Caenorhabditis elegans: one gene and its partners. The protein of the gene in region 2 purifies or fractionates together with the protein of the main gene of each other region. This does not show direct contact. Each region holds a gene or a part of one and is shown on either strand. Other genes may lie near its edges. The genes, in order: lin-61, hpl-2, tdp-1 and lin-54.

The links.
Region 1: the proteins of hpl-2 (region 2) and lin-61 purify together in Caenorhabditis elegans (affinity purification with western blotting, with the first as the bait; one study listed by BioGRID). This does not show direct contact.
Region 3: the proteins of hpl-2 (region 2) and tdp-1 purify together in Caenorhabditis elegans (affinity purification with western blotting; one study listed by BioGRID). This does not show direct contact.
Region 4: the proteins of hpl-2 (region 2) and lin-54 purify together in Caenorhabditis elegans (affinity purification with western blotting, with the first as the bait; one study listed by BioGRID). This does not show direct contact.

Annotation. Positions count from the first base shown.
Region 1 is NC_003279.8:7,248,476-7,253,631, forward strand, and holds lin-61 (Protein lin-61), read right to left. Parts: upstream 2,808-5,156; coding exon 2,445-2,807; intron 2,342-2,444; coding exon 2,159-2,341; intron 2,111-2,158; coding exon 1,944-2,110; intron 1,818-1,943; coding exon 1,721-1,817; intron 1,671-1,720; coding exon 861-1,670; intron 774-860; coding exon 634-773; intron 580-633; coding exon 501-579; downstream 1-500. Other genes in the region: adsl-1 (Adenylosuccinate lyase), read right to left, coding at 1-201; Mitotic checkpoint serine/threonine-protein kinase bub-1, read left to right, coding at 3,472-3,545, 3,591-4,120, 4,164-5,075, 5,120-5,156. UniProt on the Caenorhabditis elegans protein: Synthetic multivulva class B (synMuvB) protein required to repress the induction of vulval development by Ras signaling. Unlike other synMuv proteins it does not associate with the multiprotein DRM complex and the NuRD-like complex.
Region 2 is NC_003281.10:10,751,441-10,757,819, reverse strand, and holds hpl-2 (Chromobox protein homolog hpl-2), read left to right. Parts: upstream 1-2,298; 5' UTR 2,299-2,309; coding exon 2,310-2,351; intron 2,352-2,625; coding exon 2,626-2,799; intron 2,800-3,066; coding exon 3,067-3,305; intron 3,306-4,004; coding exon of another isoform or gene 4,005-4,077; exon of another isoform or gene 4,078-4,229; intron 4,230-4,263; coding exon 4,264-4,417; intron 4,418-4,788; coding exon 4,789-4,860; intron 4,861-5,265; coding exon 5,266-5,496; 3' UTR 5,497-5,566; downstream 5,567-6,379. Other genes in the region: K01G5.10 (Haloacid dehalogenase-like hydrolase domain-containing protein 3), read left to right, coding at 1-144; rnf-113 (putative E3 ubiquitin-protein ligase rnf113), read left to right, coding at 183-320, 384-1,116, 1,839-2,122; enu-3.6 (ENhancer of Uncoordination), read right to left, coding at 6,116-6,250, 6,299-6,379. UniProt on the Caenorhabditis elegans protein: Seems to be involved in transcriptional silencing in heterochromatin-like complexes. Probably does not act as global transcriptional repressor, instead targeting a subset of genes. Involved in RNA processing mediated by Tar DNA-binding protein homolog tdp-1.
Region 3 is NC_003280.10:8,995,759-9,000,406, reverse strand, and holds tdp-1 (Tar DNA-binding protein homolog 1), read right to left. Parts: upstream 2,583-4,648; 5' UTR 2,574-2,582; coding exon 2,478-2,573; intron 2,424-2,477; coding exon 2,230-2,423; intron 2,180-2,229; coding exon 2,100-2,179; intron 1,997-2,099; exon of another isoform or gene 1,987-1,996; coding exon 1,748-1,986; intron 1,659-1,747; coding exon 1,518-1,658; intron 1,475-1,517; coding exon 1,257-1,474; intron 1,153-1,256; coding exon 876-1,152; 3' UTR 685-875; downstream 1-684. Other genes in the region: F44G4.5 (uncharacterized protein), read left to right, coding at 34-111, 165-626; F44G4.3 (uncharacterized protein), read left to right, coding at 2,865-2,929, 2,976-3,071, 3,122-3,221, 3,271-3,339; ndub-2 (putative NADH dehydrogenase [ubiquinone] 1 beta subcomplex subunit 2, mitochondrial), read right to left, coding at 3,508-3,898, 3,943-4,034; Brix domain-containing protein F44G4.1, read right to left, coding at 4,314-4,355, 4,405-4,534, 4,580-4,648. UniProt on the Caenorhabditis elegans protein: RNA-binding protein which regulates transcription, splicing and RNA-editing. Limits the accumulation of double-stranded RNA by maintaining the abundance of the mature RNA transcripts that are formed from double-stranded precursor RNAs.
Region 4 is NC_003282.8:13,239,137-13,244,220, forward strand, and holds lin-54 (Protein lin-54), read left to right. Parts: upstream 1-1,914; 5' UTR 1,915-1,931; coding exon 1,932-2,057; intron 2,058-2,099; coding exon 2,100-2,255; intron 2,256-2,306; coding exon 2,307-2,415; intron 2,416-2,461; coding exon 2,462-2,567; intron 2,568-2,617; coding exon 2,618-3,005; intron 3,006-3,546; coding exon 3,547-3,792; intron 3,793-3,846; coding exon 3,847-4,023; 3' UTR 4,024-4,265; downstream 4,266-5,084. Other genes in the region: tag-115 (SAC3/GANP/THP3 conserved domain-containing protein), read right to left, coding at 15-276; rpl-12 (Large ribosomal subunit protein uL11), read right to left, coding at 543-640, 690-797, 1,008-1,262, 1,388-1,424; JC8.4 (CMP/dCMP-type deaminase domain-containing protein), read left to right, coding at 4,539-5,069. UniProt on the Caenorhabditis elegans protein: Synthetic multivulva class B (synMuvB) protein. SynMuvB proteins are required to repress the induction of vulval development by Ras signaling and probably act by forming the multiprotein DRM complex that repress transcription.

The DNA of each region.
Region 1 (5,156 bases), on a different chromosome or scaffold from region 2:
TACATCTCTATTGGATTTCATCTCATCAATTGCATCCTGAGTAACTTGTTTAAGACCGAGCTCTTTTTCAGCTTCAGCGAGCCAAATCCATAGTTGTCTCCAAAGAGTCGCTTTATTAGTCTCCGAGAGGATCGAAACAAGTGGACTATTCTTACAGTAACGAGTTGATAGAACCGACTCGAACTTGTCTTCGGAGGCCATGATACAATAAACTGAAACCAAAACGCTTAATATTTTCAGAACATTCAACATAAAACTGGTAGAATGTTTAAAGTGATACCACTAATACTAAATAGATAAGAAAATGGCGATAACCATGCAGAAAAGATACAAAAGAAACCATAAACGGAAAAATAATGTTGAAGATTCATGTTCGATAGGTGCAAAAAGAGTCACCAATGATAGCACAGTAAATAAAATAAGGGAAATACCAATCCAAAACGGGAAAGTGTATATAAGAGATCCTGCATACGAATGAAATTATGTTAATGTAGCTTTTATCAATAGTTGTACTTTTTCGGAGGTTGTAGAACATAACTGTGCGCTTCACACCATCCTATCGGTAGAATATCATGGGAGCTGAAATGATAGAATTTTCATTGAAAAAATGTCGTTCGGTCATGATAAACTCACTCCACATCATACAGTTCATCAAATTCTTCATCCCAGCCGTCGAAATTGACATTTATCAGTCTTCCATGAACTGATTTCACTGTAGCTGGACAAATAAACTGATTTTCACACATGTCAGCAGCTTCAAGGCGTAGTCCTACCTTAAAACAAGAAACAATTATGAATAACTATTAATAGTGAAACAATCTCAAACGATATAAAACAACCCGTTTGGAAATCAGAATTACCTTAAATTTGTCTAATCTCTCTTGGGAAGGCATTGGCTTGAACAAGTCAAGCGGTAGGGTTTCTGCAGATTCTTTCTCCAAGTATTCATCCCATCTGAATGTTCCTTTGAACTCATCTGGCGGAACAAGTTCCAAATTATACTTTTCCGCATAACCAACTGGGAACATAAATGTATTATTGATATGAATAGGAAAACTGTCTTCAAGTGCATCTGGACCATCCATTCCCACAATAAGATATCCTTCAGTTTTGCAAAATTTGAGAATCGAAGCGACGTGGAGGTTATTGAATTGCTGAGCCAAGGGGTCGATGAGCTCAAACTTTTGTCCAACCTTAACTTTTCTCCAAATCATGGGATCAATTGGATCTTTTGCTAATTGATCAAATGTGACGTCGTCTGAGTCATATCTTGGATTTTCTCCATTTTTTATTGCTTGAGCAATTTTATTTGTGTGCTCAATATATTCCTTTTTCGCATTTAGTTGATATCCATTGACTGCTGCAAATCCAACAGGAAATATGAAGAAGCTTCCCTCGTCTATCCAATATTGAGATCCAGAGCTAAAGACTTGTCTGTCGTCATCTGCATCTGGAAGCGATTCGGGAAAGTCTTTCTTTGTGATAGATACATTCATTCGTCGTCCACATATTTCTTGAATTCGCGCTACGCGTATTTCAGTAGAATTGGAATAATTTAATAGTTCAAGACGTTGTCCAACTTTGAAACGATGCTTGCTTAGGAGAGCCTTCCCTTCATCGAATTTTGGAGACAGCGAAGTTTGGCCGACGATTTCGCCATCAATGCAATTCTGAAGTTGTGAGATGATATTAACATAAATTCGGAAAAAAACAAACTTACATTTACATAATTTACCATATCATTTTGGTATTCTTCGTTGATTGCAAGCGGCGGAGCATATACAATTTTATCCATATTGGGATCACTCATTGCGGCGCTGAAATGTTCAAATTTTACTATTATACAAATGTTTCGAAGTTTTAATACGATTGTTCTCTAGAATTTTATGTAACAGAACCATTATTTATTTAGAATAGTAGAAAGAGCTGAGCGTCCAACTTACTTTGCCAAACCAAACATATCGTCCGATAAAATATTGAGCCAAAATTTCGTGTCAGCTCCGATAAACTGAGCCAGAACTCTGTATCCGCAAACTTTTTCAATTCGTGCAAACCATCTGACTTGAATCGAATCGCAGTTCTTGTCATAATCATGGACCACTGTTTCGAACTACAAAAATTGTATTTTAAAACCGATTTACGAACAATATGAACTCACGATAACTCCTTCCTTCACGCATTCGTTAAAATTAACTGTAAGGTTACGATTGAATGCTTCAACTGGAATGAAAGAAGTTTTTCCTTTCTCGAACTGATGTAAATAGGATTCCCACAAGTAGGTCTTATCGAGTTTTCTGTCCGATTTTTTGTTAGCTCTGACAATTTTCAGAAATTCAGACATCTGAAATTAAGACTGGTTTAAAACGTAATTAGAGAGAATGTTTATTGAAATTGAAAGTTAGTTCGATTTGATTTGATATTTCTCAGGCGTTCGTCAAATTCACAGTGTACTCAATATACTCCAACCCATTGGATCCACTGGTGCTACTCAACCCGTGCCTATACTCGCGAAAATTTCCATTTTTCGTGCAATTGTGCAGAAACCACCCATAAGGCTCGAGCTTTCCAAATTCAAATCCATGATGGCCGTCCTGATAGAAAAATATTTTCTTTCGAGCAAACATAGTCATACGTCCAGTGATGTCTTCATCGCGATCCCAAAAAGTATTGCCATCGTCTTCCCAATGCGACACTGTTAATTGGAACACTTCATCAAAATCACACTTAACTTCGACGCCAAACAGAAATCTTGTCGAACTGACTGTATTGTAGAACAACGCGAAGCACAAAATGACTAATTTTAGCATTTTGATGTTCGGGAACTAACTTTTCGGACGAACAAAAACACTCTTAACTATCTGGTGACAAATTAGACTACTGGGCCACGCTAACTTCAATTATTTCGAAACATTTTGCTTTAAAAAAAAAAGAAACAAAACAGGAAAATGGAGAAAATGTTTGAAAAATAATAAAAAAGAAATGAGAGACTCAATGCAGATCCGTCGATTTCGAAACTAGTGACGAACGGACTACGAAAAAATGGGCGGGCTTTTTGTGTTATTAAAAGTGTAACATTTCAAATTAAATTCCAATTGCATACAAACACTTTTTAAAAAATTGTTTTTTTATAATTTCAAATAGCTTTAAAATCAATTTTCAGTTATAGCAATAAAGCACCGCCCAATTTTCAGTAGTGCGCAATTCTCCAGATTCAAAAGAACGTAGCCATGAGAGTGACGTCACTGAACTACAGCGAAAAACGCGCTCTATCGAGCAGGCCCGCGAAGACTCGCTTTTCAAAAAAGACGCGCGCGTTTATATCCATTTCTTGTTTTCGAAGGTCCTAAAATTTAGAGGAGAAAGAGGGATTTCACGTCTCCAATGAACTCCGTAATTTTCGTGAACCGATGATTTTTTTATTCGCGTCCTTTCTACTTTGAAAACTTGTTATTCAGATTATTTCAGAAAGTTATGTCCCACATTAGAGTGGCATTCGCTCCACTCGACACCAATCCGTCGACATGTGGTCTTGAGACGTTCGCAACGTAAGTTTCCGTATATCTTGTATTTTAAATAGTCACCACTTTCAGGCAAATCGAAACGTTGTCTCAAATGATGACCGCGGAGGAAATGAAGGCGGAATTATACGACTGCGTTAGGAGAATTTTGCGGGAGCAAAAGTTTGATCAAATTCGTGAAAACGAAGCGATGCTCCGTCTCTACAAAGTTATGGGTCGATCTAGTACAAACCTGAAGGGAAGAGGCATTTATGAACAACTTTTCAAAAAGGATCATTTCACTGGTTCGCTGAAGTTCTATCTGCAATGGGCAGAAGAATGTGGAAAAGATCAAATGCTGGAGGAATTCAAAGATGTCCTGAAGTTGGCACGAGATCGTCTTTCCGAAAGAATAGAAATGACAGCAATTGAATCGGGATTTCGCGATTTGGTCGATGAATACTTCAATGGAGAATCTGGAGATATGTTCACACGACCGGATGAGACTATGGATCTTTTCAGATTCAATGCGGGTTCTAAGAAAAAGCGTCGCTCTTCGGTTTGCTTTTTGCAACACAATGTGCCTATAAATAACTCGGGAAAAGCTGCATTTGGACCAAAAAGTAAGTTTGAAAAAAAGTTATTATTCTCATTGGAAACTTACAGCCAAAACGGATCTTCGCCAGGCGTGTATCGACAGGCCAAACTATCATGGAATATCGATTGAGGAGTTTCGTTTTGCCAAATGGAAGGACACTTTCGGAGAAGATGTTGATGACGATTACCGAAAACGAAAAGACTCTGGTGTCGTTTTCGTGAAACATCAAGTCATTGATACCGACAGACAAGCCCGCGAAGAAGTTGAAAACCGATTCAACGCCAATCTAAATCCTAGAAGACGTCATCTTTCACCAGTCAGTGAGAAAACGGTTGATGATGAGGAGGAAAAGCGAAGCCGGATTTATTCGCCGCTGGTTGCAACGAAGGATGCTCACAGACCTGCACTTCGGAGCAAAATTGAGAATCCTCCAGCGACAGTGACACTTTCGTCGGATACAAAGTCTGCTTCGGAGAAAGATGTTAGTGATTCCGATGATGCAGATGATGATGAAAGACTCAAGATTATGACTGCCGGCAGAAAAGATGGTAACCCTCCAGACCGTTCCACAAGCATATCTTCCAACTATTCAACTGCTTCTGCAAGAACATCAAAGAGTGGAGCTGGATTGGATTTGATGGCGGAAAATAAGTGTTTGGAGGCACATGCTATGTTTTCCGACACTGTACATCTTGCTAGCGAAAAGACAATGGTCCTTGGCGATGATTCTGTCTTCGTTCCAGAAAGATCTTTAGCTACTACGCAGATAGTTACTGACTTTTCCGTGCTCTGTGATCCTGATCCGACAATGACCATTACACAGGAGCGTCCGAAAAAAGTGTCGAATGGGTTGAATGTTGTTTACGATGAGGCAGCCGAACCGGAAGAATCTCAGAAAGTTGAGGAATCTGAAGTACAACCCGAAATTGTCCTAGTTTCTCCAGTGACGCAAACCTCACCAGCTACAATGTTTAATGATAGTGGGTTTATCGAAAAATATAACAACTTATGTTTTAATTTTTAGTTTATGACGATGAAATCGAGTTTGGCTTTTTCAAACC
Region 2 (6,379 bases):
TTGCACATTGGAGACAATTTGAAAAATGATTTCCATGGCGCCAAAAATTTCGGCTGTAGAGCTCTATTGTTTGATTCATCTTCCTCTCATAATGTTGAACCGTTTTATTGTATTTCTCGTTTGTCAGATTTGAAGCTTTATTAATTAATTGAATTTAATAAATAGTTTTAATTTTTCAGATAATGGATCTCTTCCGAAAACCGAAAAAGCGCAATGCACCCGTCGTTCGTAAAAAGGAAAGCTCAAGTGATGAGGATCAAGATTCAGAAGTGAAGGATGTGATTCAAAAGCGACGTCGTACGAATCCGATGGTCCAGTCGGTGAGATCTTGGTACTTTAGTGCTCCAAAATTTTGGAAAATCCCAATAAACTTTGAAATTCAGACCAAACAACTAGACGCCTCAACACGACGTGCTGATAATTCATCGGATGATTCTGACGACTCTGACGACAATCAGGATATCGCAGTAGCAACTCACTCGTTCGCCGCTTCAGGAGATGCCGGTCCATCTGGACCACGTGATCAAGGTGCCACTGCAACACTCGAAGTGGACACAGACTATTCACACGATGCCCAGGCTCAATTCGAACGAGTCCAACAGCAACTGAAGGAAGGCGTCGAGAAAGACGGAAAAATTCTGTACAAGGGAAGTGCACTGTATGGAGCCAAAGAGGCGAAGGATACGGCCAAGGGAAACGCTGCAAGTGGTTATAATCGAGTTGGGCCCGTTCGGGCGCCACAATTTCTACGACAAACAGTCCGTTGGGATTTTGCACCGGATATTTGCAAGGATTACAAGGAGACTGGATTCTGTACGTTTGGAGATTCGTGTAAATTTGTGCACGACCGATCGGACTATAAACACGGATGGGAGATTGATGAGGAGTACGAAGCAGGAAAATATGGTGCTGAAGACGATGCGAATTACGAGATTCATGAAGGCGACGATACGTTTCCGGAGGATTGTTTTATTTGCGGAAATCCATTTGTTGATCCGATCGTGACAAAATGCAAGCACTACTTTTGCACCGGTTGTGCGTTGAAATCGTTCCAAAAGTCGTCAAAATGCCCAATATGTCAGCAGAATACTGAGAATATTATGAATACCGCAAAAGGTTTGAAATAGAACGATTAATTCGTGATTTTCGCAAGTTTTGGAAGGTTTTTCGGCGCAGTTTGATACTTACATGTTACGGAGGATACTGCACGTGGACAAGCGTGAATCTTTTTTCACATTTTTTGGACAATAATAAGACATTATAACTAGAAAGAGAGGAGGAGCCTAATTTCGCAACTCTGCGGCACGATTTTTCGACAATTTTCCACTGTTTTTTTTTTTGGTTTTTTTTCTGGTTTTTTTTTCCAAAAAACTTCGATTCTTCCTGTTTTATTTTTTTTTACGAGAAAAAAATCAAATTTAATTCGCATAACATTTCGATTATAGTTCATATTTTTACAACCAATTTAGCTTGAAATATCCTCCCAATCTAATGTGAATTAAAAGGAATAAAATCGAAACTTTTATGGAAAAACCCCAAAAAAGAAAAAGGAAAACCGTGCCGCATGGTTGCAAAATTGGTTGCAAAATTACGTTCCGCCTCTTTTTCTGCTTTTTGGAAAACTCATTTCTTTGGTAATTTGGAATGTTGGAAGAGAATCAGCGAAAATAGTTCAAAAAAGTAAATTTCAGCCAATAACTCACAGTTGTCCGGGTGAAGTACAAAATCCTTCGTAAATTTACATGCAACAAACCGCGCTTTTAATCCAAAACTTGCGAAATTCACAAGATAGTAGCTCGAAAAATGTGGCAAAAAAAAATTAATTTTTAAATTTTCAGAGCTCCTAACCTACCTGAAACGGAAGAAGCAACAACAGAAGCAAGAAGCCGAGAAACAGGAAGAAGAAAAAGATAGTGACGATGATGAAAAACCACACGAATGCGACGATCACCATCATCATGATCACGAAGATGAGCCCGAGGAGCCTGAAAACGACTCAAATGTTCCAGAAGCCGAGGAGAAGAGCGATGAGGAACAGGAGATTATGATGGAGGATGTGGAAGGGCTTGAAGGTGGAGAAAATGACTCTGAGAGTGATGATGATGATGCTGAAAAAGATTGATAATTTTTATTTTTTTTTTAAATATTTCTGTACGGTGATTGTCTGTGAGTAAACTAAATATGATTTTTTTTCTTGTTCGAGCCTTTTTTTAATTTCAAGATATTGTTCGAATCTTTATTCCATATTTTTTCTATGTTTTTTCAGATTTCTCCCATTTTAGCTCAAATTTATTTCAGCAATTTCAAAAATGTCGAGCAAATCAACAAAGCGAGCAAAAATCGAAGATCCGGTATGGAACGGCGAAAAAACCAAAAAATCTATTTTTACAACAAAAAAAACTAAAAAATACAATTTTGCAACGAAAAAAAACCAAAAAACAGTCCATTTTGCAAAAAAACAATAAATCAATTTTTGCACTAAAAAAAATATTTTAAAAAAACAATTTTGCAACAAAAAATCTATTTTTGCATAAAAAATCCAATTTTGCTAGAAACAAAGCGACAGTATAAGTTCCCCGACAAAGAAAAAAAAAGTCACATTTTATTCAAAAATCTGATTTCCAGAAGGACAACGTGTTCATGGTGGAAAAAGTGCTGGACAAGCGAACTGGAAAAGCCGGCAGAGACGAATTTCTCATACAGTGGCAAGGATTCCCCGAGTCTGACTCTAGCTGGGAGCCGAGAGAGAATCTCCAGTGCGTCGAGATGTTGGACGAGTTTGAGAGGGAATTTTCAAAGGTTTTGAAGAATTTTTTAAAGTTTATTTTACTTGAAATGGTCCTAAAAAGCGAATTTCATAGTGAAAATTGTTTGAAAAATCTTCGATTTTGCCCACTTTTCCGTGCTGCAACTGTTTAAATTAGATTTTTGTTCGATTATTCTCCTATTTTCACACGGAAAAGCTGGTAAACTTGAAGATTTTAACTAAAATTAGGTTTTTTAGAGTTAAAATTACAAAGTCATAAAATCCGATTTTTCTGCAACAAACTTATTTTATTTTTACAGAGAGAGAAACCAATTCGCAAACGACACAGCCAGAAGCCCGAACCTTCCGAAGATCAAGCGGATCCAGAAGAGGATAAAGATGAAAAGAAGGAAACGAATCAAAATGACAAATTCTCACTGGAAGGCAAGCAGTTAAAATGCATTGTCGGGCTCACCAAGGGACCTGGGGAACTTCATTTTCTGTGCAAATTCAGTGATGACACGGCACGGCTTCTTCCAGCGAAGGAGGTGAACAGTCGGTGAGTTTGGGAATTGCTCCCGGTTGATTAAAAGTGTATTACGGAAACACTCCACCCAAAAACTTTAAAAGTATCCGAAAAAAAATATTACGGGAACACAAAATTCTGAGAATGCGTATTGCGCAACATATTTGACGCGCAAAATATCTCGTAGCGAAAACTACAGTCATTCTTTAAATGACTACTGTAGTGTCGATTTACGGGCTCGAGTTTTGAAATGGATTTTTGTTCAAATAGTGGCATTTTTGCTTAATTTTAATATTCTATCGGTAAATCAAAAAAATATGATTTCGAAAATAGAGCCCGTAAATCGACACAGGCACTACAGAATTTACTGTATTTACTGTACTGTAGTTTTCGCTACGAGATATTTTGCGCGATACGCATTTTCAGAATCTTGTGGTCTCGTGATACGCGTCGATGGGGATTTCACTCTAAAATATGCCGGCTGTACTGCACATAAGTGCCGAAATACCGAAATACCACGAAAAATATGAAAAATTGGACTTTTTCACTAAGAAATTCGAGGAAAAACGGAACAATTGCGTTTAAATTGATAAAAACCATGGCGCGGTAATTCAAACATTCAAAATTTTTCTGACTATTCTGCGTATTTAAAACTGAAATCCCGATCGGCGCTAGAGTTTTTAGCTAGGAAGCGAACCTCAATTTGGCATTTAAAAAAGCTCTAAATTTCAGCTATCCGAGCCAAGTTATCAGATACTACGAATCCAAGCTAACAATCCAAGACCCAAAAGCCGACGAGCTTTAATCACTCCCCACCCCGATACACGTGTTCAATATCATGTTCTCTCATCTCATTCCCATATTCTTTTTGAATTATCTTGTAAAATCTATACCAATTTTTGTGCTAACCCCTGAAATCGAGACTAAATATTATTGAATCAATAAAAATTTCTTGAGACACATTACATTCGACATTCTATTTTCCATACAGATACCGCCCGTTCGTCGACGCTTACGGCGAATTTCTGAAGAAAAAGATGGAGAGACGACACAAACGGATTTCCGAGGGAAAGAAGAAGCGTTCGATTGAGGAAGATGATGCAGATGATGAGTGGCCTGAAATGCCACCGGGACATCGAATTCTTGTGAGAAAATTTGAAGTTTTAGAAGGAGAAAATTTTGAGAAAAATGAAAAAAAAAAGTTTTCTCTGAAATGTTTCCAAAAAACAGTCTCTACACAAGGTCCAAAATTTGAACACCTCTCGAAAAATGTTTTTTTTAATTAAAAAAAATTTTTTTTTGGGAAAACATTTTTTTTGAGAAATTTTTTTAAAACTATACTGTTTTTAAATCTTTGAGAAAAAACTAATTTTTTGCGAATTTTGAATTCTTTTAGGTATTCTTCTTAAGGAAAAAGTAGTTTAGAAACTTTTTTTGGAACAAAATTATGTATTTTTAATTTTAGAATAAAAAACAATTTTTGAAATTTTTTTCAAAATTTTTATTTTAATTCCAGACAACCGAAGAACACGAGCTGCAACGTAGGAAGGAATCGAAAATATCGCAGGACGTTGAGATGACTGAAGCGGTAGGGGTCTTACCACGAACGAAATATTTTTTGAGGCCGCGCCTTTAAGAACTACAGAACACTATGTATCGATTTTTCAAAGAAAAAGGAAAACATAGATTTGTAAAAGAGATTCCTGAAATTCGTTTAAAAATCGATCTCTAGTAAATAAAAAAATGTCAGAAATTGTAAATTTCGGGATTTTTTCGCCAAAAAAATAGCCTTCCTCATGTGGTGTCAGAAAGTCTCATTGCAGTTTGATCTACAAAAAATGCGGGAATTGTTTCCCAGAAAAAATGTGACGTCAGAACGCTCTTAACCATGCAAAATCAGATAAGATGTCTGCGTCTCTTCTCCCGCATTTTTCGTAGATCAAAGCGAAAAGGGACTGTATGACTCCACGTGCTTCCTTAAACCATTCTTCAGTTTCAGCAAACCGCGGCCGATATGCTCAATGATATGCACATGGCGGCCAATGGAGATCTGCTTTCCAGCTTCCCACAAGATTTCCTTGAAGACTCTGGCGATGGAGAAGTTCACGAGGCGGCCATCCTCTCCGTTTTCGATGACAATTCGAATAGCCCGCCACCGTGTCCGATCGTTGTCGACACTGTACCAGACGATGATGACAGTCTCTTGTTCCCAAGAAACTCATAAATTATTTGATCTCCGCTGTTTCTTTTTTTTTTCGAAAATCCGATTTATATAAAGTTTGAACATTATCTTTATATAATGGATAGTACAACAAAAATCTCTTTAGAAATATATATAAAAAATATGTTAGAAACACTGAGAAGCTCATGGTGCATCGACAAATTTTCTGCATTTGCAGAAAATCCCACAAAAATGAAGAACATCGAGAACAAAACTCATGGTGCATCGACTAACAAATTTTTCGGCCAAAAAAATCTGATAAAATATGATGGCAAACAGACTTCCTAGAAACACCTGAATTTCGCCCGTAAAAAATGAGTGCGCCTTTAAGAGCTACAGTAACCCACTAAATCATTAAACTGAAAGTTCCTTGATGTCGAAAGAGAAACAAAATTTGACAAAAAAAAATTTATTGTCAGAGAAAAGTAATAGAAGTGAAATTGTGTGGGGAAATAAATACGGACGGGGAGTTTGAAAAAAGAATGGGACTATACGAGGTCATAAATAATACAATTGTGGGGAACGATGAGCATAGAAAAGGGGAAATGGGGCTCCATAAAAAAAATGAAGGACCTAAAAACGGGGGAAAATCACGAGAGGCGGTCGGGGGCTCAGAAGAACTTCAATCGTGTGGCTTGTCCACAGTGACGAACGCTTCCAGCGCTGCTTGTTTCGATGTCGACTCCTTCTTCTTCTTCTTAATCAAGGACGGTGGGAGCGACGTATTTTCCGGGGTGCCTGGCATTGGCGATTGCTTCTGAAAATTTGAAATTTTAGATAAAAACATCATGAGATTTAAGCTAACCGGAGTCTGGAGCTTCTCCTTGGTGGCCTTTTCGGTGACTGGAAGCATCTGAGCTTGTTGGAGCAGTGGGACCAAGTTCGT
Region 3 (4,648 bases), on a different chromosome or scaffold from region 2:
TATTTCGAACTTTGAATTAGAAATTGAATTGAAATGGAACACAAAAAATCAACGGATTCGAGATCATGCAGCCAACTTTCAACTTCAATGGATAATATTCAACGAAATTTGGTAAGTTGATTTATATTTTTATCCTTTTCAATTACAGAATTATTTTAATTTAGATGCTTCTGGAAATTGAGAAGAATGAAAAGTCGAGCTTTGATGACGTCATCACGGGTGCCGAATCGGATAATGGTTGGGAGGATTGTTTGAGAGAAACTGAAAGTGTTCAAAGTCAATGGATCACTGAACAATCCACCATTGCTTATCCAGAAACTACACGTGTCAATTGTGATGGTCCACAAAGTTATTATGAATTGGCTGATTTGAATTATAAGCCAGCAGAGAATACTGTTCGTTTGGCTCGTGTCCCATCACAGTACCAACTTGATGCTTTGTCCGAGATTTTCGTTTTCGATGTTCCTCAACATATTGCCGTTAAAAAAGTTGAAGCTTCATTTCTGCCGAAATATGTGAACACGAGTTCCGAGGTTGCCCAGAATTCTGTGAACACGACGCCATACTTTGTGAATTCGGAGTACGTTTCTGAGATGTTGTGCAATGAATACTCGGAAACTTACTAACTTTTTGTGCCTCTTGTCTTACCAATTCTTGAGAATGAACTAGTTTTTTAGTCGATTTAATTTCAGGTTTTTTATTCAGAGATTGTAGAATTGCATTATTAAAAATACAGCATAAAATCGCAAAGTGCGTCGACATGAAAATTGTAGGGGTCTAGTAAATGTGAGAGAACAATACTAATGACAAATTGTCAGACAAGAAAATTGAGAAAAGTGTAGAAAAATATGAATAATAACGATTTTTCGAGAGAATCACCATCCTGGTCCTCTCGAGTCTCCAGGTGCCCAGTATCTCCTCTCGAGGGGAGAATTTTGCTGACGGTATGAGTAATCTTGTGGTGGGCGGACGAATGGCATGGGCAGAGGTGCTTCATTTTGAATCGGTCGTCTATCCGGTCGATCACGTTCTCTGCGGTTACGGTAGCCAGCTGGAAGGCCATAATCAGGGCCAACTGATTGATTATTCTCTTCTCGAGGCTGTGCGATGCTCAATCCAACTGATAAACCGTTGACAGTTAGCGATCCTTTGCTGAAAATTATATTTCTTACTAGAATGAAAAATATGAGTGCTTAAAAGTGATGCTACACCGGAGACAGTTATTTTTAACAGGTTTTCCAAAAAATTAGCAATACCTGACAATTCTTTCCGCGGCTTCGGCGCTCGACAGCGTAACGAATGCAAAGCCTCTGAATGGTTTTGGGATGAACACATCGGTAACTACTGCAGTCTCTATATAGCTTTTTGCTTCATCTCCAAACACTTTTCGCAGTTGATGTTCGTCTACTTTGTCTGTGAGCCTTCCGACAAAAATTCGACTGATTGATGGACGACCTTGTTTGTCCTGCAAACTCTGCTCAACTTATTAGTTTTAATTGATCAGTATAATAACATACCCTTCCATCTGGAACTTTCACATCACAACGACGACCATCAATCATGTGCTGTGGGATAGCTAATACTTTATTTTGTTCACCGACTGATGACATTCTGACAAATCCAAATCCTTTTGAGTTTCCATCCGACTTTCGTTTTATCTGAAGAAGAATATTGAATATGTATTTTTAATGGAACCTATGTGAACTTAATTCTCTCACTTTCAGATTCCTTCACTCATCTCACGAACCTCACAGAACACAACAGTTCCTATATCTTCGAAGTATTTCTGAAAGCACTCGTCAGTCGTTTTGAAGTCCACACCGAGCACGATGAGGTCAACTGGCTGGCTGTCTCTCTCAACCGCTCTCTTCCTGCCCGAACGTCCGTCACGACCGTCATCCGAATCCGAGTCGTCACTCGATCCCACTTTACGTCTCTTCGCACTCGTCGCGTCAGCTGATGACAACGCTCTGACTCTCTCGCTCTCTGAATCACACTACGTCACTCGAACGTCTTCACTCAGACTGTCACATAAACCGTCTCTACTCAAAAGCTTGAATTTTGGTGAAACTAGTTAATATAAAACAAAAACAACTTACGCGGGGCAACAATAACGAAGAACGTTTTATTTTCCCAGCCGTCAGCTGGAGCAATTAATTTCAAACCACTGGGATCGACTCTGGAAAATAAAATAAATTTTAAGTCAGTATACCTCCACCAAGCACTCACTGAACAGCTCGGTTGGCTCCAGTTTTTGGATTTTTGTACTTCAAACCAGTAGCACCCGGAAACGATGCTTGCAATGTAGTCATCAAGACAACACCATCAACGGTAGGAAGTTCTATTGGCTCATCTCCATTTGGATCTTGTACTGTGATGAATTCCGGGTCCGTGGTTTTCTTTTCGTCACTCCCAGTTTGTGTCTGGAAAACATGAACATGGGATATTAGCAACTGTACGAATTATTATTAACTTACCAGTTCTGCCTCTTTTCGAATTTCCTTAACTTCATCCAAGGGTGATTTAACCTCGGCCGCAGGTTCTGTTTTAACCTTCGGCGTTTCGTCGGCCATTTAGTGACTGGAAACAGATATATTTGAAATAATAACAAATTTACTAAAATAATGAATTATTTGTATCTATTTTTAATCAATAAAACCAATAAATTGAGCCAAAAATCTCCGAGCAAAAATCTTGTAAATTAATTACACAAATGGTGTGCAAACACCATGACGCACATATGCACACATTTTCACACCGTACCTCTCAGAAACTAGGCGTCTCTGAATTACAAAAAAAACCTTCTTTTGCCCATTAATGATCATTTTATTCTCTGAAACTTGACAATTGACTATTATTCAAACATGGAAGGTGACAAAAATGTGGTGATGAGTTCAAAACCGACAGGGAAAGCCAATTGGAAAATAAAGTAAGTGTTGTTCACCAGCGTTAAAATTAAAATTATTAACTTTCAGATTCCACAAAATTCTGTCATATCCTATGAAAAGAACTGGTCCTGCAATTGTAGCTTCAACGCTTCTCTACATAGTAATGTACAATGTTGGAGTCCGGTAATAAAACATTGTAATTGATTCATTTTTAACTGAAATACTTATTTCAGGTGGTGGAAAGGCGACAAACATCCAGTAAATCGGTTTATGTGGAAGATACAAGAACAAGAAGGAAGGCTAGATCCTACTCTTCAAGCGAAAAAACAAGTTGTAAGACTAAATTTCCGCTCGAAATAGTTTTTCATTCGTCTTTTTTCAGGTTCTTTCCTACCAAGAAGAGCGAGTTTATCGTCCACGAGACAATGTGCCGGACCTTGGAATAGTTTAGGTTATTTGGTTATAGATTAGAAATAAATAATTATATTTTTAAAATGTTCGTATTCGAAGCCACTTTATTGAATTACAATCAGGCATACAGGAAACGGTTAAAAATAAAAGTCAAGTCGTTTCAAGAAGAATGAGACTATGAATGAACTAAAAACATTCTGTCAACTATTTATCGATAAGTTCCATATTCTTTCTTGTGGTTGCCCCAGTATTCTGGATCTTCGGCAGAATCCTTTGGAATTCCGAGCTCTTCATCCGTGAACTCGCTCAAGTATGGCATGTACCAATGTCCCAAGAGATGGCCAGAATGATAGTACATGTGGTACGAGAACCACGCCCAAATGACAGCTGAGATGAAATAGGTTACACAACGATCGATGTAGGTTCGACCAGTTGTTGGAGTACGGTAGAAGTAATCTGGAATTGGCTTATCCCCCTTCGAGATGGTACCGCGGTAGTCTCCATCATAGGTGTGCAATTCTGGATTCTCCGAAGCTCCCATCTTTCCTCCAACTGGAACATTTGGACCAACAGCATCAGATCCCCAAGCAAATCGATTTCTAGAATAAAAAATAAATCTATACTATTCGGAAAGAAAATTTACCGAACAAAAGTCAGACGAGATGGGGAATTGACGAGTCCTCGATTGCGGAGGTGCTGCAGAGCCAACTGAGCAACGAATTTGTTCCCCAACATGGTCAGAACCTGAATAAATTCTGCGAATATATATAATAATAAAATATCATCAGAATAGATAATTATCGGTCAGAAACCTTAGAGGTAACAGTTTAAAAAAATTGCATCAAATTATATTATTCAATAACATCAACAAAACAACAAAATAAAAGCAGTAACAAAGATGATAGGGTTGCATGGGAGAGATTGAGATATTTGTTCAAAACTTCAAAAACCTTAGTAAGGATAAAATTGGGGCTTCGAATTTTTTTGCAACCTTTGAAAAACGAATAATAGTAATCAGAGGAAGAAACGACGACGACTGGTTTCCATTTCGTGTCTCTGAAATTTTTAATAATTTTCATTCAATTAATTTTAAATAAATCCATACCTTGAGGACCCATTCGAATTCTCCCCACTTTGCGTCGAAAGTACCCTTCTGTAGCCACTTAAGTCTTAATGTGAATCGAGGACCCAACTCCAGAAGCGCTGCTTTTGAACCTTCCTTTTTGAATTCGTATCTGAAATTTTTAGATATTCGATTGAAATAAACATGATTCACCTACCTATGATGTCTGAAAAAGATGTAATCTCTCTGATTGTGGAATGTTACAACTCTGCGTCCAGTGAATTTT
Region 4 (5,084 bases), on a different chromosome or scaffold from region 2:
AACATGACACTCACCTTTAAACGGACTGTACAAATCCAGAAGATAGTCTATTGTGTGTTGTAGAACGGGAAAAGGCCTTAATAGTTCCGGTTTGTTGTATTTATGGGTGTCAGCAGCTGATCGTGAGTACTCTTTGACCATTTTCGTCGGATCTGCAACGTATTTTGACCGGGGTCCTGAACTAGTCGATGCAGTAGCTTCTAATTGATCTATCAGATGATTCCGGCTTCGAAAATTTATTTCAGCGACTGGGCACATTGATTCACACGAGGCCATTTCTGAATGAAGCGAAAATATTTTAAAATAAAATAAACTGAAGAAAAAATTCATCAGAGCGCAGTTTCTCTCCACGCAAAAATCGATTTCGAAAAGCGACGAAGCACGAGTTCTTTTACCAGAAATAGATAACAAATGAATCCCAACACCAGTGTCTTTCGATACAAATTCTAAATTAGACGTCTTGCATGATTTATTGAGATATTTATCAAAATACACGCAGATAGTAACAAGAATTTATTGGAACAACAAAAACAAGTGACAGATCATTGAGCTGGGATCTCGATCTCTCCATTGGCGATCGACTCGATGATGTCGTGTGGGTGTTGTCCATCAATTGTGCATCCAACGGATTGGGCTGTTCCTGAAAAAATACAATATTTAGAAACAGTTTATCGTTTTCGAAATATTACCAAGGATCTCCTTGACGGTTCCTTCAAGTTTCTTGGCCATCGATCTTGGTCTCATGATTCTGGCGATCTTGATGATGGTGTCAACAGTGAGGTCTCCATTGTGCTTCACTGAAATGGAAACGTGCAAAACGTTAAACTAGATTGATTAAACAACCCGTTGGGACGAGACAACACCAAACCCAGGAAAAATCAAACTCACGGAGCATGAAAATCACTTAGGTTACTAGTCTTTAAGTCACAAACTTTTACAAACTTATGAAGTAAGAGACCAGGGGATGAGAGCATATCGACTCCCGACCCAACGCATTAAATGCGTACCGTTCTTGACCTTCTTGCGGTCACGTGGTGGCTCCTTGAGCTCCTTGACGATGAGGGAAGCAGCAGATGGGACAACGTCGATCTTGGCAACACGGTTCTGGATGGTCAATTTGCAGGTGACCTTAAGACCCTTCCAGTCTTGGGTGGCCTTGGCGATGTCTTCTCCGATCTTCTTTGGAGACAATCCAAGTGGTCCGACCTTTGGGGCAAGAGCGGAGGTGGCTCCGACTTCTCCTCCGACGCAACGGAGGTACACTGAAAAGTGAAAATGATGCAAAAGAGTTTTTCAAAAATCACGATGATGAAATCTTTGACAAATTGAAAATCACGCATAATACGTCAAATACCTAATTAAATGTGCACAAAAATGAGCAACTTACCGATCTTAATCTCAGTTGGGTCGAACTTTGGTGGCATGATGAGTGACGTCTACCAGGGATACCGGCGGTGACAAAAGTGAGAAAAAATTCGTCGCGAGGACTTGGCGCCGGCGAATTGACTCCGTATCACAATGGTTGTTGCGTCGCTACGCAGCGAATTGTCGATGTCAATTTTCAAACAACATTAACTGTGGAGCGCACTTGCATTATTTTTGTTTAATCAAATTTCGGCGCGCGAAACAATTTTTTAATCCTTTTTTTGGGTGTTTTTTAAATTTATTAATATTAAATCTTATTGAATTATTGATTTTCAAGAAATAAGTTACTAATTTAACATTTTTGAAAGTATTTAGACGGCGAAAAATGAAATTTTGGTTCAAAAAGGAACGTAAATAAGTTGTATTTCATCCTCAAAACGATGTTCTTTTTTTTTTGTTGGGAATTTTCTGGCAAGATAACTTAATTTCTTTTCGTTTAATCTCTTTCCAAATGCTAAAACATTGTTTTCCTGATTAGTTATTTTTCAGTATTTTCAGTGTTGACAATGAATCAAGGAGAAATCGTTTATCAAGACGACGATGATTATTACGACGAATCGGAGATATACGATAATTATGAAGAAGGTGCCGAATTTATCGAAGTTAATGGACAGCTTGTGCCTCATAATCCAGTAATTTGTTTTCAATTCGAAATAAAAATAAACTTTTCTCAGAACTTACAGGCGCAGCAAAATCGTCCGGGAACCTCGAGTATGATTCAACAGCATAATCGATCAATGGAAGTTAATCAGGGATTGGTCAAAGACGAACCAATTGATACATCATCGCATCGCGTCTACGTCCCCCCTCCGAGACCAGTTCAGCGAAAAGTAATTTTAAAAATTTTCGATTTTTTACGAATTGACTAACCTCTTTGGAAGCTTTTTCAGCCTGGGCCCAGCACTCCCGGATCGTCTCAGTACACTGTGCGGAATTTGTCCAATTTATCGGGTTCACCTTCAATGTACGATCGACAGCCCGCTTCATTACGTTCGTAAACTAGAGATCTTTTGTCCTAATAATTATTTTATTTAAGCTAGAACAGTGCAACCAATGGGCTTGGAGATGGGAAATTCTGAACAGCGAAAAGTTTACATCGATATGAAAGATCACGTTAGTCATATTAGATTGAAAACTAAAAAGTAAAGAACTCAAATTTTGTAACTTTTCACTAATTCCTCTATTTTTCAAGAAAAGTATTTGCACCTGGCCAGCGGAAACCATGCAATTGCACGAAATCTCAATGCCTCAAGCTCTACTGTGATTGTTTCGCCAATGGAGAGTTCTGTCGTGACTGCAATTGCAAGGATTGTCACAATAATATAGAATACGACAGTCAGCGTTCAAAAGCCATCCGTCAGTCACTTGAGCGAAATCCGAACGCTTTCAAGCCAAAAATTGGTATTGCTCGTGGAGGTATTACCGACATCGAACGTCTTCATCAGAAAGGATGTCACTGTAAAAAGAGTGGTTGTCTGAAAAACTATTGTGAGTGTTATGAAGCAAAGGTTCCGTGTACCGATCGATGCAAGTGCAAAGGATGTCAGAATACTGAAACATACAGAATGACAAGATACAAGGTGCAATTTCCTATAATTCAGTTTAAAAAATGGAGTAACGATTCTGGATTTTTCGAACGTATAGGCTAACAAATGTGCTCAAATTAACAAGTTTTGTTTGGCAGTTCAAAATTCCGAAAAAGGCTAATTTTGATCACTTTTCCGTGTCCCAGCGGTCGGAAGCTGACTTTTTTTGAATTATCATCTTTTATTGAATATTTTGGTATTTTATCTGACGTTATTTCATTGATTAAGGTACATTTAAAGCTGATCGGTAACCAATTTCGATCATTTTTGGTCACCTCTCGGCCTTAAATGTACTTTAATTGATGAAATTTTTAAAAAAACGTTAGATAAAATACCAAAATATGCAATAAAAGATGATAATTTTAAAAATGTCAATTTCCGACCGCTTCGACGCGGAAAAGTGGCCAAAATTGAATATTTTAGCTCAAATTTCACCTTTTTCAAATTTAAAAAAATCATATTTTGGATCTCTATACGTTCAAAATACCGCAATTCTTGCAATAAATTTAATTTCTTATTCAAATTTTAATTTCAGAACTCCGGTGGTGCCGTGTCCAATACGAATGCCCTGATGTCATTGACCAACGCTTCCAGCACAGCGACTCCAGATTCTGGTCCGGGAAGTGTGGTGACCGATGAGCATGGAGACGACTACGAGGATATGCTTCTTTCGCATAAACCGAAGGTCGAGATGGATCCTAGACGCTTCCCGTGGTACTATATGACCGATGAAGTCGTTGAGGCAGCCACTATGTGCATGGTTGCTCAAGCTGAAGAAGCTGTTAGTTGGAAAATCAATTGGTTTCCTATTGAATTTAATTTTTTTTCTTTGCAGTTAAACTACGAAAAAGTGCAAACCGAAGACGAAAAACTCATCAATATGGAGAAGCTTGTCCTTCGTGAATTCGGCCGCTGTCTCGAACAAATGATCACAAACACAACTGAGCTCACACAAGATCTTGATGCCGCTCCAACGGATGACATCCCAGGACCATCTACTAGTACTTCTTAACTATTCGCATTAAAATTATTATCAATTTTATCACAGTTGCGCGATCTTTTATGATCTCACCTCTCACACATTCTTTGCCTTCCTCCCCTCCTCTCAATGCTTTTACAGATTCACAAGTTGCCTTCTTTCAAAGTTGTCAAATAAAAAATGATCAGAAAAATTTGTTTCATTTTTACTAACTCACCTGCGTCTCTTCAATTTTAGAAATTATTGTGTTATATTTATGAAGTTTTGTGTCTTTTTTTTATTATTTGGCAGCATAGTTGCACATTTGTTCCCAGCAAAGTAATTATTTCGAGAAATGTTTGATTTTTTGATTCAGAAGTTTAAATTAAATTTTAATTGCGTATTGTGCGCCGAAACACGCTCCTATTTTAAACAAAGCTATTCAGGAGTGTTTCGGCGCACAATATGCATCGCTGGTCTGCGATTAAAATTAAAATTAATTTTTATTGTGCAAAAAATAATTAAAATGCGAATTAGTACACCTTTAAAACCTAGAAAATTTATTAGAAATGTCAGAAAACGAGCTGAGCGCCGAGGACACTGCATTTCTGGAAAAAGCCTTCGAATTGGCTCAAGAAGCTTTAGATGAAGATGAAGTTCCAGTTGGATGTGTATTTGTGGTCAATGGAACAGAAATTGGAAGAGGTCGGAATCGTGTGAACGAGACCGGTGATCCGACAAGGCATGCTGAGATGGTAGCAGTCACTGAAATGTGGAAAGAGCACGGAACGGGCTGCGAGGATCTGCTCAAAAAATCCACGCTCTACGTTTCCCTGGAGCCCTGCATAATGTGCTCGTCGGCAATGTATCAGCTGGGAATTCGAAAAATGGTGTATGGAGCCGAAAATCCACGATTCGGAGGTGTACGGAGTGTTGGAAGTGCGGAGAAGTACCGAATGGAGGATAATGTGCAAATTGTGGCTGGAATTTGGTCGGAACGATCTGTCGCCATGCTGAAAACATTCTACGAGAAGCTTAACCCATTTGCACCGCCTGAAAAGCGGAAAACTAAAAAACCAAAGTTAGATGAAATTAAATGATTTTATTAATTATTC